Linked DNA regions of Saccharomyces cerevisiae S288C. Changing the gene in region 3 together with the main gene of any one other region gives a genetic interaction. Each region holds a gene or a part of one and is shown on either strand. Other genes may lie near its edges.

Region 1 (3,685 bases), on a different chromosome or scaffold from region 3:
TGATTACCGGAAACCCTTCATAATGTTTTCCTTTTTCCCAACAAGATTGAACTTTGATATCGTTTTGTAACTAAAATCTTTTTTGACAAATGAAATTATATGAATTATAACTTATCAACTTTATGAGAAGCAAGTAGACTTGGTACTGTAAAAAATATAGTCCCACGACAGCGGTATCTATCTTTCTTACCCTCTTTTACTTTTCACAAAATCATGTTGATTTTTCAGTTAACCCAGTTTAAGATCATGAATGGAACGGGAAACAAATACGTAACAACTGGGAAAAACAAACCTGCCGATGTTTGAATGCACTTTATTTATGGGAAAGAGAAAGCTTTGTCTGACAACTCCGAAAGAAAATACAAAGAAGAATTGAGACCTTCAGTACTAATGTCCCCCTCGCTCTTTTTTTTTTCTCTTTCGCAAGAATATCTGCGTATGCCTTTTTAGAAACTATTTATTCAATATATTTATACACGATATTTTGTGTGTATAACAGATCACCATCTTTTCCCGATCACTTTCTCCAATCTATATCGCTTGGCCTGTAAAGCATTATCTGCCTGCTGTACATTGTTCTCGATGTCAAACATTCTAGTGTTTTGTGCTTCAAACTCTCTGCCAAAAGCGTGAGCCATAATTTTCAAGTCACCACTCACCGCTTTTATTTGTTCTAGGTTTCCGTACAAGTCGATTTCCATTTGGTTATCTTCTTCATCGGCTTCAAACTGATACTTCTGGGCATCTCTAAGAATACGCTGTCTTTCCACCCCTTGGCCATACCGTCCATATTCAGAACTTAGATTTATGGCTAAATTTTTGTCAGAATCTTGGGCTCTTTTCATAGTTTCTTGCTGTAAGTGACGATGCTTTAACTTCAAATTGTAGATCTGGTCTCGCTTTTCTCTCTCCCTTTTCTTCCTGAAGGGGTTGGGTGATTTTAATGCAAGCAGGCTTCTATTTTCATGGGCAAGTTCGTCAATCTTTCGGTCGGCTACGTTAGATTGAATTTTAAGCATGTCACAATTGCTCTCGATCTTGGTGAGTTGGTTGCTCTGACAACTTAGTTGTTGAAGAACTCTCTTTCCAGTACATCGAGCCTCTATAGCTTTTTCAAGTGTTCTGCTTGTCGTTTTTACAGATTTTAATTTAGTGCTTCTAATCTCGGACCTGAGTCTATCAACTATTTCATCCTCCTCAGGCTGGACATTCTCTAAGTTATATTGACTTTCAACTTTTCTCCACTGTGGATAGTCATTCTCATTTGCAAAATTTCCCAAATCTCTGTGAATAACGCTATCTGTTTCTCCCAAGTTTTCTTCAGGTATTTGGCACCTGTTGGACTTTGGAAAAACCTCTTCTAACGAAATAGTAGCAAGGCCATCCCTTTCGGGCACCTCATAAGAGACGCATTTATCATCACTAGTCTTAGTGGCGTCATCGAACCGACAGTTTGGGTGAAGTTGTTTGTGGATTTTATTCCTCAAGGATTTAAGCTTCACATGTAGCCTATCACGTCTTCTGCTTCCTGAACAATTGTCCATCCTGAAGGGTGATAAATATTTTGTTTCATGGGATCCTGTAATATTGGAAATAAGTACATAGCGATGATTTTGCAACTTCAGGTTCTTATGGTGCTGATTATGGTGGCGACTGTGATGCGATTTGCTAGCAAGTATTTTTCTGAACCCCATTATATATCTAAAAATGGCTATTCACAAACGGAAAAATCTAAAGTAATAAAAAAATAATAGTGTTAACAGAGAAGGTTTATCAGTAGCTAAAGCGAGCAAATTACTGGTTAACTTATCGTATTTTCCGTACTGTGGTGAATCTTATGCAAAATGAACCTGGCTTTGGCGGGAGTTTTTTTTTATGTGACACAATGGCCTTTTGCCGGTGGTAAATACGCGCTTCAAAAAGGTTGTTACACAGCGGCACATTAGCATGACACAATCTTGATCCTTTACAATTACTACACCGCCAAGTATAAAGCTTTTCCCAACCAACGTGTTTGCCAAGTAATTTTGTGTAGAGTGCGGCTGACTAACAGCCTTAACCGGGTACTCTGTTCCCTGCATTTGCATAAAAACTACAAAGAAAAGAAAGAAGGAAATACTCCGAACCAAAGAGATACAACAAGAATACTTCTCTCATTACATCGGCACCTTCCTGGGGATTAATTCCTTACAAGCGCTGAAAAAATGAAGAGATGATTCCGTACTTCAACAATGGCTTTTAACCTTATTACCCCAAGAGAGTGTCTACAGAATTAAGGCCCATTTAATTTTTACCTTCCTGTTCCTGCATAACAGACACCCCTTACCCGCATCAACAGGAGGGGAGGAAACATTGCCAATATGTCTGCGAATTGTGACAACCAATCCGCATGCACGGTGGGGGGCGGTTGAAAGCGCCTAGACTTCCCTTTTTTGGATTGCTACGTCACCTTCGCAGCGTGCACCAGGTGCATTCACCACACGAAAAGATGCGAAAGCACACCAAGCGCGAAATTCCGGTTTTTGGCTTGTTTGTTTCGGGCTCCGCCTCATCGTCTTAGCAAATCTAGACCTTGTTGAAAAATCGTGCAGGGACTCCGTACCTGCACAAGCAACGCGGCATAATACATGTAGGGATACAGCAAAGATATTGTTTCTGAATGGGCAAAACATTGCTTTCCGCAAACGGCTTTTTCTTCTCTTTCCCACCACCGTGGGTCACCTTTTTCTTGCGCCTCTTATGCCAACACACTCTTCCCGTGATGCGAATGGTAAAGAAGTTAACAAAAAACACAAAAAATTCATATTCCGATTTCTCTGCAAAGAAGCCTGAGCGGGAACTGCATGTCCGCTTGACTTGTCTTCCCTCCGGTTAGCTGTGCCTGCAGGGAAACCGCAGTAGAAGGACTGCGGAAGGATCTTTTCCCGCCGTTGATGTAATCTTTAAAGTTAATTTTTCCCTCACACAGTTTGCATTTTTCCCGCATGTTGTCCGGTTTTTCTTTCTTTTGTTGCTTTTTCTTCCGTGGGCCTGACGGAACATTCCAAGTTGAGTGCGATCTGACTAAGGAACTAGTAGAGGCTACCGCTCAGTAAGTTTAACAGTCGGCTAAGCATCGATCATCTCATTCTTTGCCTTCACTCAGTTCTTCGCAATAGTACAGTGCTGCGCAATAGACGCACGTATCAGTGATGTATTCTTTCTCTTGTCTTCACATAAAAAGTACGTAGATGTGTTGCCCGTTTGTGTTTTATTAACTTATCGAATGTGGCAAGCCGACGATACAAAAGAAAAAAGTTCATCTTTAACACTTCTTTTTGTTAGTTTTTGAAGTTTTTCCCCACTATCTTTTGCATTAGTTGTGTGTGCCTGTGCGTGTGTAAGCCTTCTAGTATAGTTGATAATCCTTTTCCATAGCTTTTTATATTGCAAGCAGAGAGATATCATTTTGTGCTGTTTTCATTAAACATACTTCACAATTGTATAAAAAAAAAAAACCTTTTTGATCTTTGTTTTCAGAAATTGAAAGTGGATTTGTTAAGCACAGTACAAAATCATCCTTATATAACCCTGGTAAGGTCCTTTTGTCATGCCCATCGGTAACCCAATCAATACGAATGATATCAAGTCCAACCGCATGCGCCAGGAATCAAATATGAGTGCCGTGAGCAATAGCGAAAGTACT
Region 2 (5,525 bases), on a different chromosome or scaffold from region 3:
TTTTTCAATTCCATGAAACGGAGCCAGTTGGAATGATTCTCTTCTATATAGGCAGGATCGTATTGATCTTCCAAATGGAGACCTCTGACGTCCATATATGCCATTCTTTGCGACCATTGACTTATCATTACATCGCCCCACTCTTCGTACACTTCGACGTTTTCAAGACGAATCGATTCTGCCAGTTTAGCCATTTCGGTAAGAAAAGAATCTAATGAATGAAACAGTGATTTTTCAAAGTCTAACAAATGTATTTTATAATTCTTCAGTATCGATGTGATAGATGATTTGGTAATGTAAGCTTCCAGTTCAACTTGACCCGATTCATCAAAATACTTTATTTTATTTTGCACAGGATCGAATTTAGAGGTACAATTAATATCTTTGATTTTTGAATCTAGAAACACTAATTGCTCATTAACGGTAGTGTTAAGGTCATCAAGATTCCTAGTGATTTCTATAGATTTATTTTGCACCTCGGCCTCGAACACAGACTGTATCTCTGAATCCAAAAGTGCCATCGCACTGTGTATTTTCGAATCTATAGCCTTAATCCATGCTTCATATTCCATTTTTAATGATTCTGCCTCGTAAGTTTCCAATTCTGCATGGCTATTGGAACCAATGATAATCTTTGACAAATCCTGCAAAATAGCAGCAGTGACGAGTTGTGAGTTCCCGTGGCCATCCTGTACTCCATCGAACTCGTATTCTTTATTTTCATCCTCAATTCCGACATCATCCTCATCCTCATCTTCATCCTCATCCTCATTTTCATTCTCATCATCCTCATAATCCTCTGTTTCCGAGTCTGTCTCAAAAATGGGTTTGGTGAGCGTGCCATCAGCGCTAAAGGAGCCGTATTTCATCCAATCCGTAGAGGAGTTAAATGGATTCTCTAGTACATTCTTCACATTGTCTGTATATGGCTTTAAATAGTACCAGGCAATCCTTAGATGATTTAATAAAGGTCCCAACTTGGAATGTAGCGAACAGCAGAGCTCATTTAGCCTTAGAAAAGAGAAAATATTGTACCAAAAGCGGTAAAAATATCCCATAATTCTCTTCAAGGATGAGTTGGGGTATCTTTCAATCAGTGGTTTTATCGATTGTGAGTACTTTCCAACTAAATAGTCAGAAACCGCTGAACCTTCAACCAATTTAGAATCGAATAGTGAGCCAACTGAAAATTCAGTATGCCGGCAAATGGGCTGTAAATCTGTGGCAAAGCTTCCCAGACCATTTTGCTGACAGACCAGATACCTTGCAATAAACACGCAAGCCAGCAAAGCAGTCGTTACTTTGAAAACGGCCTTCATGATTTTTAGTAAAGAACTAACCACCTTTTTCTTAGTTAAGAAAAGGTCAATCAGTAACAGAAATATGATAGTAGCAACACCCAAAAAAATGCTATCTTCCAATAGTCAAAAAGGAAGCCTCGATGCCATACAAGTCTCTTCTAAAGTACTATTATGTAATTCCTGTTAAATGATACCTGTATTGTGGCTTAAAAGGGCCGAAATGACAACAAAATGAGTAGGGTTAATTTAATTTTTAAAGAGGGCATTTATCTAAAAAATGAAAGACAACTATAGGGCTGGTAATTATAGAATAGGTCTTAGTAGGGTTATCCCTTCCTCTAGAAAAAAAGAAAGAAAAATAATTTTAAGTGGCCAATTAGAACCAAAACCAACAGTATCGTGGTATCATACGCTCCAAAGCAACTAGAAGAAAGGCCTTATTTGACCATTGGATTCAGTATTTTTTCTCCAAGTAGCGGTTAAAAGACTGAGAGACTAAAGCTAGATAGTGGGTTTGAGTGACTATCCCCTTTTTTCCTCCTCTTTTTTTATTATTTTGATTTTATTTCATTTTGATTTTATTTCAACACGATTAAGACACAAGCGTTACTTCCCTAGACTATAGTCTCTGCCGTTCCCATTCTATTGATTTTTGGAGCAGCAGTTTTTACAAAAGAAAAGAAAAAAAAGACGAAAACAACAAGCCAGAGTAAAGATGTCGTTTTGGCCATTTGGACAGAATCTTAATCACTCTAATATTAATAAGATCCTAGATGAATATTTTCATGTGCTACACGAACTGGAAAGGATTAACCCAAGCGTTGGTAAAGCCATTCCCGCTATTTTCAACAACGTTCAGGAACGAGGTACAAGTGACTCCCTAGATTCTATTCCGGAGGAGTATAGTCATGGTGATGAAGTGAAAACGGCACGTGGAGATCAGAAGAGTCGATTTGAGAAGGATGATCAGCAAGAACGGTATGAGAAAGAGGAAGAGGAACGGAGCATGAACTCTAGCGAATCTTCCACTACATCTTTTTCTTCTGGGTCAACTTCTAAAACTGATTTAGATGAGGAGGATATCAGCAATGCTACTGCTCCCATGATGGTCACCACAAAGAATTTGGATAACTCTTTTATTGAAAGAATGCTTGTAGAGACAGAGCTACTGAACGAATTATCGAGACAAAACAAGACGCTACTTGACTTCATTTGCTTTGGATTTTTCTTTGATAAGAAAACTAATAAGAAAGTGAATAATATGGAATATCTGGTCGACCAACTGATGGAATGTATCTCGAAGATTAAAACCGCCACCACAGTGGATTTGAATAACCTGATAGATTATCAAGAACAGCAACAGCTTGATGATAGCTCACAAGAGGACGTTTATGTGGAATCTGATACGGAGCAAGAAGAGGAGAAAGAGGACGATAATAACAGCAATAACAAGAAGAGACGAAAACGCGGAAGCTCCTCGTTTGGTAACGATGATATCAACAACAATGACGACGACGACGATGCGAATGAGGACGATGAATCTGCTTATTTGACAAAGGCCACCATAATATCTGAAATCTTTTCCTTAGACATATGGTTGATTAGCGAGTCATTAGTTAAAAACCAATCATACTTAAACAAGATTTGGTCTATCATCAACCAGCCAAATTTCAATTCTGAAAACTCTCCCTTGGTACCCATATTCTTAAAGATTAACCAAAATCTGTTGTTAACCAGGCAGGATCAATATTTAAATTTTATTCGAACGGAGAGAAGCTTTGTTGATGATATGTTAAAGCATGTTGATATTTCCCTATTGATGGATTTTTTCTTGAAAATAATATCCACAGATAAGATTGAATCACCCACGGGAATAATTGAATTAGTATATGATCAAAACTTGATCAGCAAATGCTTAAGCTTTCTAAATAACAAAGAGTCCCCAGCTGACATCCAAGCATGCGTGGGTGATTTCTTAAAGGCTCTGATTGCCATTTCTGCTAATGCACCCTTGGATGATATTTCCATTGGTCCAAACTCCTTGACGAGACAGCTAGCATCTCCCGAATCCATTGCAAAGCTAGTCGATATCATGATCAACCAAAGAGGTGCCGCATTAAATACCACAGTTTCGATTGTCATTGAGCTGATAAGGAAAAACAATTCAGACTACGATCAAGTTAATCTTTTAACCACTACTATAAAGACTCATCCACCTTCAAATAGAGATCCAATATATTTAGGCTATCTACTTCGGAAATTTTCAAACCATTTGTCCGATTTTTTCCAAATCATTCTAGATATTGAAAATGACGCCAACATCCCATTACATGAAAATCAGTTGCACGAAAAATTTAAACCTTTAGGATTTGAAAGATTCAAAGTGGTGGAATTAATCGCCGAGTTACTGCATTGCTCTAATATGGGATTAATGAATTCCAAAAGGGCAGAAAGAATAGCCAGAAGAAGAGATAAAGTAAGGAGCCAGTTATCCCATCATTTACAAGATGCATTAAACGATCTGAGTATCGAAGAAAAGGAGCAACTTAAAACGAAGCACTCTCCAACACGTGACACTGATCACGACCTAAAAAATAACAACGGTAAAATAGATAACGACAATAATGATAATGATGATGAAAGTGACTATGGCGACGAAATAGACGAGAGCTTCGAAATTCCATACATCAATATGAAGCAAAACATAAAACTTAGGACCGACCCCACGGTCGGGGACCTATTCAAAATCAAACTATATGATACGCGAATTGTTTCCAAAATAATGGAACTATTCTTAACACATCCTTGGAACAATTTTTGGCATAATGTTATATTCGACATAATTCAGCAAATCTTCAATGGAAGAATGGATTTTTCCTATAATTCCTTCCTTGTTTTGTCTCTGTTTAACTTAAAGAGCTCCTATCAATTTATGACTGATATCGTCATATCAGATGAAAAAGGAACGGATGTTTCCCGATTTTCTCCCGTTATTAGAGACCCAAATTTTGATTTCAAAATAACTACAGACTTCATATTAAGGGGCTACCAGGATTCATATAAATTTTATGAGCTAAGGAAAATGAATTTGGGATATATGGGCCATATTGTCTTGATTGCCGAAGAAGTGGTCAAATTTTCTAAATTGTACAAAGTGGAACTAATATCTCCCGATATTCAAGTAATTTTACAAACCGAAGAATGGCAATACTACTCCGAAGAAGTCTTAAACGAAACAAGAATGATGTACTCTAAAATTCTTGGCGGTGGAAGTTATATTGATGATGGAAATGGTAACATCATTCCGCAGCTGCCTGACAATACTACTGTATTAACTCCAAATGGTGATGCAAGTAATAATAATGAAATCCTTGATTCAGATACCGGGAGTAGTAATGGAACAAGTGGTGGCGGCCAATTAATCAATGTTGAGTCTCTAGAAGAACAGTTGTCCTTATCTACAGAATCTGATTTACACAACAAGTTAAGGGAAATGTTAATCAATAGGGCTCAAGAAGACGTTGATAATAAGAACACGGAAAATGGGGTTTTCATACTGGGGCCGCCGGAGGACAAGAACAGTAATAGTAACATTAACAATACCAACCATAATAGTAATAATAGTAATAACAACGATAATAACGATAATAATGATAATGACAATGATAATACTCGTAATTATAATGAAGATGCTGATAATGATAATGATTATGATCATGAATGATACATTGTTTTGTACTTTTCTTTAATTTGTATATATATATATTAATTTATATGTATAAGTACCATGTAGTTTTCTATTCATTCATTCATTCATCATGATAATATTACTTCTTACGTATCATTTACGTGAATAGATCACTTTACCGTTAGGCAATTCCATTTTCTTTTGGCCTTTCTTTGCAGAACCCTTTTTTACTTTGTTCCCCTTTTTTGTTTGGTTACCATCATACTTTTTACTATCCGTTATTATTTCTTCTTTTCCTGCGCTACCAACAGATTTGCCAAACGTCATGTTCCAAACCGAAGCAGGTATTCTCCAAAACAAACAGTTCTTTACTGAAGGTTTATCCAAGGTATCTGGCGAAATTAGTGTTTCACTTCCATCAGGCTCTACAACATAGACATCGCTAAACCTTACAACCAAACTTTTACCCTCATCCTTTTCATGTTGTTTAAACGTTAGTTGTTTTACGCCTAGTCCATTGGTATCATCCTGTTGTT
Region 3 (3,567 bases):
GGATTATGGACCGGTGAGGGAACATAATCATCTCTTCATGCCTGAACCTGTATGCCACGATGATGGAAGGCATACCATTATTCATACTGTACTTGCACCTCTTCTGAACTACGCTAGAATTTATTCTTCAGAAAATACCAGGGATATCCTTATAGATTTTTTTTTTTTGGCATAATCAACTCTCTTGGGTATCTTGCCGCATTCATTTTACATGTAAAGTCCAGCGAGATACCTTGGCAACTAAATTACAAGCAGTCTCTATGAAATTCAATAATGTGCCAAGTTGTTAGGTCAACAATTTCAAAAAGCGTAAGAAGCCGCACAATGGCTTGCATAAGCTATAATAATAATAGTAATCCAATATTTCTTATAATAAATAAACTCAACAGGAATTGTAAAAAAGTATGTATCTATGTGAATAAAGTGAGAGAAAAACAGATCCTCTGAGAGGAATTCTCGTTTTTTTTTTTTGGGGGGGGAGGGGATGTTTACCTTCATTATCATTAGTTCAAGTCGGCAACAGTTTTTGACCAGTTACCATAATTGACTCTACCGTATTGGATATCAGCAATCCATTGAGCAACTTGCTTGGTCAATGCACCACATTGTTCACCAGGCAATAGTGGAACATGAATATCTTCGTTGTTCCAGCCAATTTCCTTGATAGGTGAAACGACAGCAGCAGTACCAGAACCGAAGGCTTCTAATAGTTCACCTTGTTTTGCTCTAGTGGCGACTTCAGTAATAGTGTAATAACGCTCGTTGATGTCCCATTCTTGAGGATCTAGTTTGTCACGAGCCAATGTTAAAACAGAGTCTCTGGTAACACCTTCTAAAATGGTACCATCTAATGGAGCGGTAACCAATTCCTTCTTGCCAGTGACTTTGTTGAGGAAAACGAAGAACACGTTCATAGTACCAACCTCAGTGATGTTCTTTTCTGGGCCGAACAACCATAGATTTTGTTGGTACCCTCTTTTGGCAGCTTGTAGTTGAGGTAAGATGCATGGGGCATAGTTAGCACCCAATTTTTTGTCGCCAACACCACCTGGCCAAGCTCTTGTAGCATAGTCTGTTGCTTCAAGACGTACGGCTTTGAAACCAGTCTTATAATAAGGACCGACTGGAGAAGTAATAACATAAAGAAGAGCCTCGGAGGGAGTGCCAACACCTAAACCCTTGGATGTACCAATCATTGTTGGTCTGATGTATAATGAGTAACCATTACCTTGAGGAACCAAGTGTTTATCTTGTTCGATCAATTTCCCGGTAAGTTTGATCAATTCTTCAGATTCGAAAGTTGGCAAACAAATTCTAGCGGCAGACTTGTTCATACGGGCCATGTTCTTATCCGGACGGAACATGGTGATAGTATTTTGAGGAGTTCTGTAGGCTTTCAAACCTTCAAATAATTCAAATGCATAATGGAATACACAAGCAGATGGGTCAAGAGAAAGATTACCGTAAGGCTTGATGTGTGGAGTGCCCCACCCTTCTTTGGCTGACCAAGGAATGGTCAACATATGATCGGTGAATGTCTGGCCGAACACTAATTCTTCATTTGGTCTTGGCTTGGATGGATTTGGGTTTCTAGTAATTTTTAGTTTGGATGCATCTAATGGGGCACCAGTAGCGAGTGTTCTGATGGAGAATTTCCCCAACTTCAAGGAATGTCTCTGCAACATGTTTTAGTATGCTAAGGTTCTAGCTGATTTTGCGTTTATAGGGTGATTTATTCTAACGAAAACATGTAGTTGTTACCACTAGCTCTCTTTATAGTGCCATTTTTTTCAGATGCTTTTTTTTTTTCAAAGCTTAAAGGCCGGTACCGGCAAACACAATAGAATTTTGAGTCATAAGAAGGCAATATGGATCGGATGGGCCATTAAACAAAAAGAGAGCCAATTCATCAGTAATAATAGCGACAGCCGGTATGAAATCTGCACAAAGTATCAACCGCCTGGCCTCTATCAGTAAGATCATTCAATCAACCGTACACGCGGTACTTATCCAGCGTTAACATTTACGCTTTACAGTTCAGCTAAAAAAGAACACATTATCTAGTTAATGCCTGGGAAGGCCCTGGCAAGATACACTTTATCTAAATTATCTACTGCTCGCAAGGCAATGCTATCAATTTGAGAAGTGCAGAAGGAAATGCCATCAAGCTTGTGGTGCGCATTTCACTTTTAAGGATAATAACAGAATTTAATGGCTTGATATGGACGGGCGGTTTGCGAGCCTTACTATTGATAGGAGTATTCGTCAAGTCCAGGGCGCCAATGTGACTTATCGCGCTGTGGGTGGGTAATTCTACCTCAGTTTGCTTCTCGAGGAGTTTGTAGCATAAATCTCGTTAGAATAGTCAAACATACGGTATCTTTCTTTCTCTTGAAAAATTAGTACAGTCTACAAGTTTTCCTCATTGGCTTTCAGACGAGCATTTGATTGTCAAGTACTTTCCGGACCACCTGCGATAGTTTCCCTTGTCTACTTGAGCAGATATGCTCTTACTGACTAGCAAGAATGATAACAAATTTTATCAGTAAACCCTTTCCTTGCCGTAATTTTTTTTATTTTAGCTTCGTAATTTTTTTTTTCGTATTATTTTTCTTTTTCTTTTTCTTTCTTGATATCATAATCATGGGGAACTTCTCCATATAACAATAGAAGCTAAATAGGTAAATAACCAAGCGTGCACTGATACAAAATAACGAAAAGTGGCACAAAAATGACATTGACTATCAAAATAGGAACCTTAAACGATAGCGATCAATCTGCAGTGCATAATGGTACAGAAAATGGCTCTGATTTTCGAAAGATAACTCCCACAGAGGAAGAGATCTGTGATGACGTAGTTTTGTTATGGAAGGAAGAGCCCGGAACTGAAGACGCTACGATTCAGCATCTTTATGACAGGATTACGGAAAGAAATCAATCGTGGAAATTGAGTGCTTCTCGTTTTCGAAAAATTCTAAATGAGCACCATCTTTATGACACAGATCTAGAGACCGTTTCTCTATATAAAGATAAAATACATTTTCCAAAAGCCCTAGATTCTGATGCTAAGGTCGAAGTGAAATTTATTGATGACGAACATGGAAGGGGCCTTTTCGCTAAAAGAGATTTTTCCAAGGGCCAAATCATCCTGAAAGAAAATAAACCTATCGTATATATTCCACCACTGGACAAGCTTTTTTTAATATCTAATGGAAAGGCATGTGCTCGATGTGGTAAGGCGCTATATGATTTGACCCAGCACAAAATTATGGTCCATTATTTGGATTGTGAAGTTTGCAAAGCTATTTGGTGCAGTGAAAAATGTAAAAAAGCACATGCGTCGTTACATGAGCTTTTATACCACTCATGGAGATCGAATAGAATAGACATTCTTCATGCTGGTAATTGGAAAAGATTTGTTAACTACTGTGAGAAATATTGTTTTACCGCTGCCTTTTCAGTTGGTCTTATATATGGATCCATGCTTTTGGATACTACAGGAGAGGTCAAAGAGCAATGGCAAAAATTGGCAAGCATCTCACAAAGGGAAAGAATTAAATTAAGAGA

What was found.
Region 1: mutations in BAT1 (region 3) and SPO20 together harm fitness more than expected from each alone (negative genetic interaction), as found in Saccharomyces cerevisiae (2 studies listed by BioGRID).
Region 2: mutations in BAT1 (region 3) and SAP155 together harm fitness more than expected from each alone (negative genetic interaction), as found in Saccharomyces cerevisiae (2 studies listed by BioGRID).

The regions. Positions count from the first base shown.
Region 1 is NC_001145.3:305,498-309,182, reverse strand, and holds SPO20 (Spo20p), read right to left. Parts: upstream 1,695-3,685; coding exon 501-1,694; downstream 1-500. Other genes in the region: SOK2 (Sok2p), read left to right, coding at 3,590-3,685. UniProt on the Saccharomyces cerevisiae protein: Required to maintain the prospore membrane to the nucleus during sporulation in order to capture the daughter nuclei and form the spores.
Region 2 is NC_001138.5:232,226-237,750, forward strand, and holds SAP155 (Sap155p), read left to right. Parts: upstream 1-2,016; coding exon 2,017-5,025; downstream 5,026-5,525. Other genes in the region: OSW7 (Osw7p), read right to left, coding at 1-1,319; ERJ5 (Erj5p), read right to left, coding at 5,143-5,525. UniProt on the Saccharomyces cerevisiae protein: Positive regulator of protein phosphatase SIT4. Involved in directing expression of TOR-repressed genes and in dephosphorylation of NPR1 in response to nutrient starvation. Negatively modulates K(+) efflux of the cell by the Na(+)-K(+)/H(+) antiporter NHA1.
Region 3 is NC_001140.6:515,650-519,216, reverse strand, and holds BAT1 (branched-chain-amino-acid transaminase BAT1), read right to left. Parts: upstream 1,686-3,567; coding exon 504-1,685; downstream 1-503. Other genes in the region: SET5 (S-adenosylmethionine-dependent methyltransferase), read left to right, coding at 2,732-3,567. UniProt on the Saccharomyces cerevisiae protein: Mitochondrial isozyme of branched-chain-amino-acid aminotransferase, involved in the biosynthesis of the branched chain amino acids (BCAAs) leucine, isoleucine, and valine.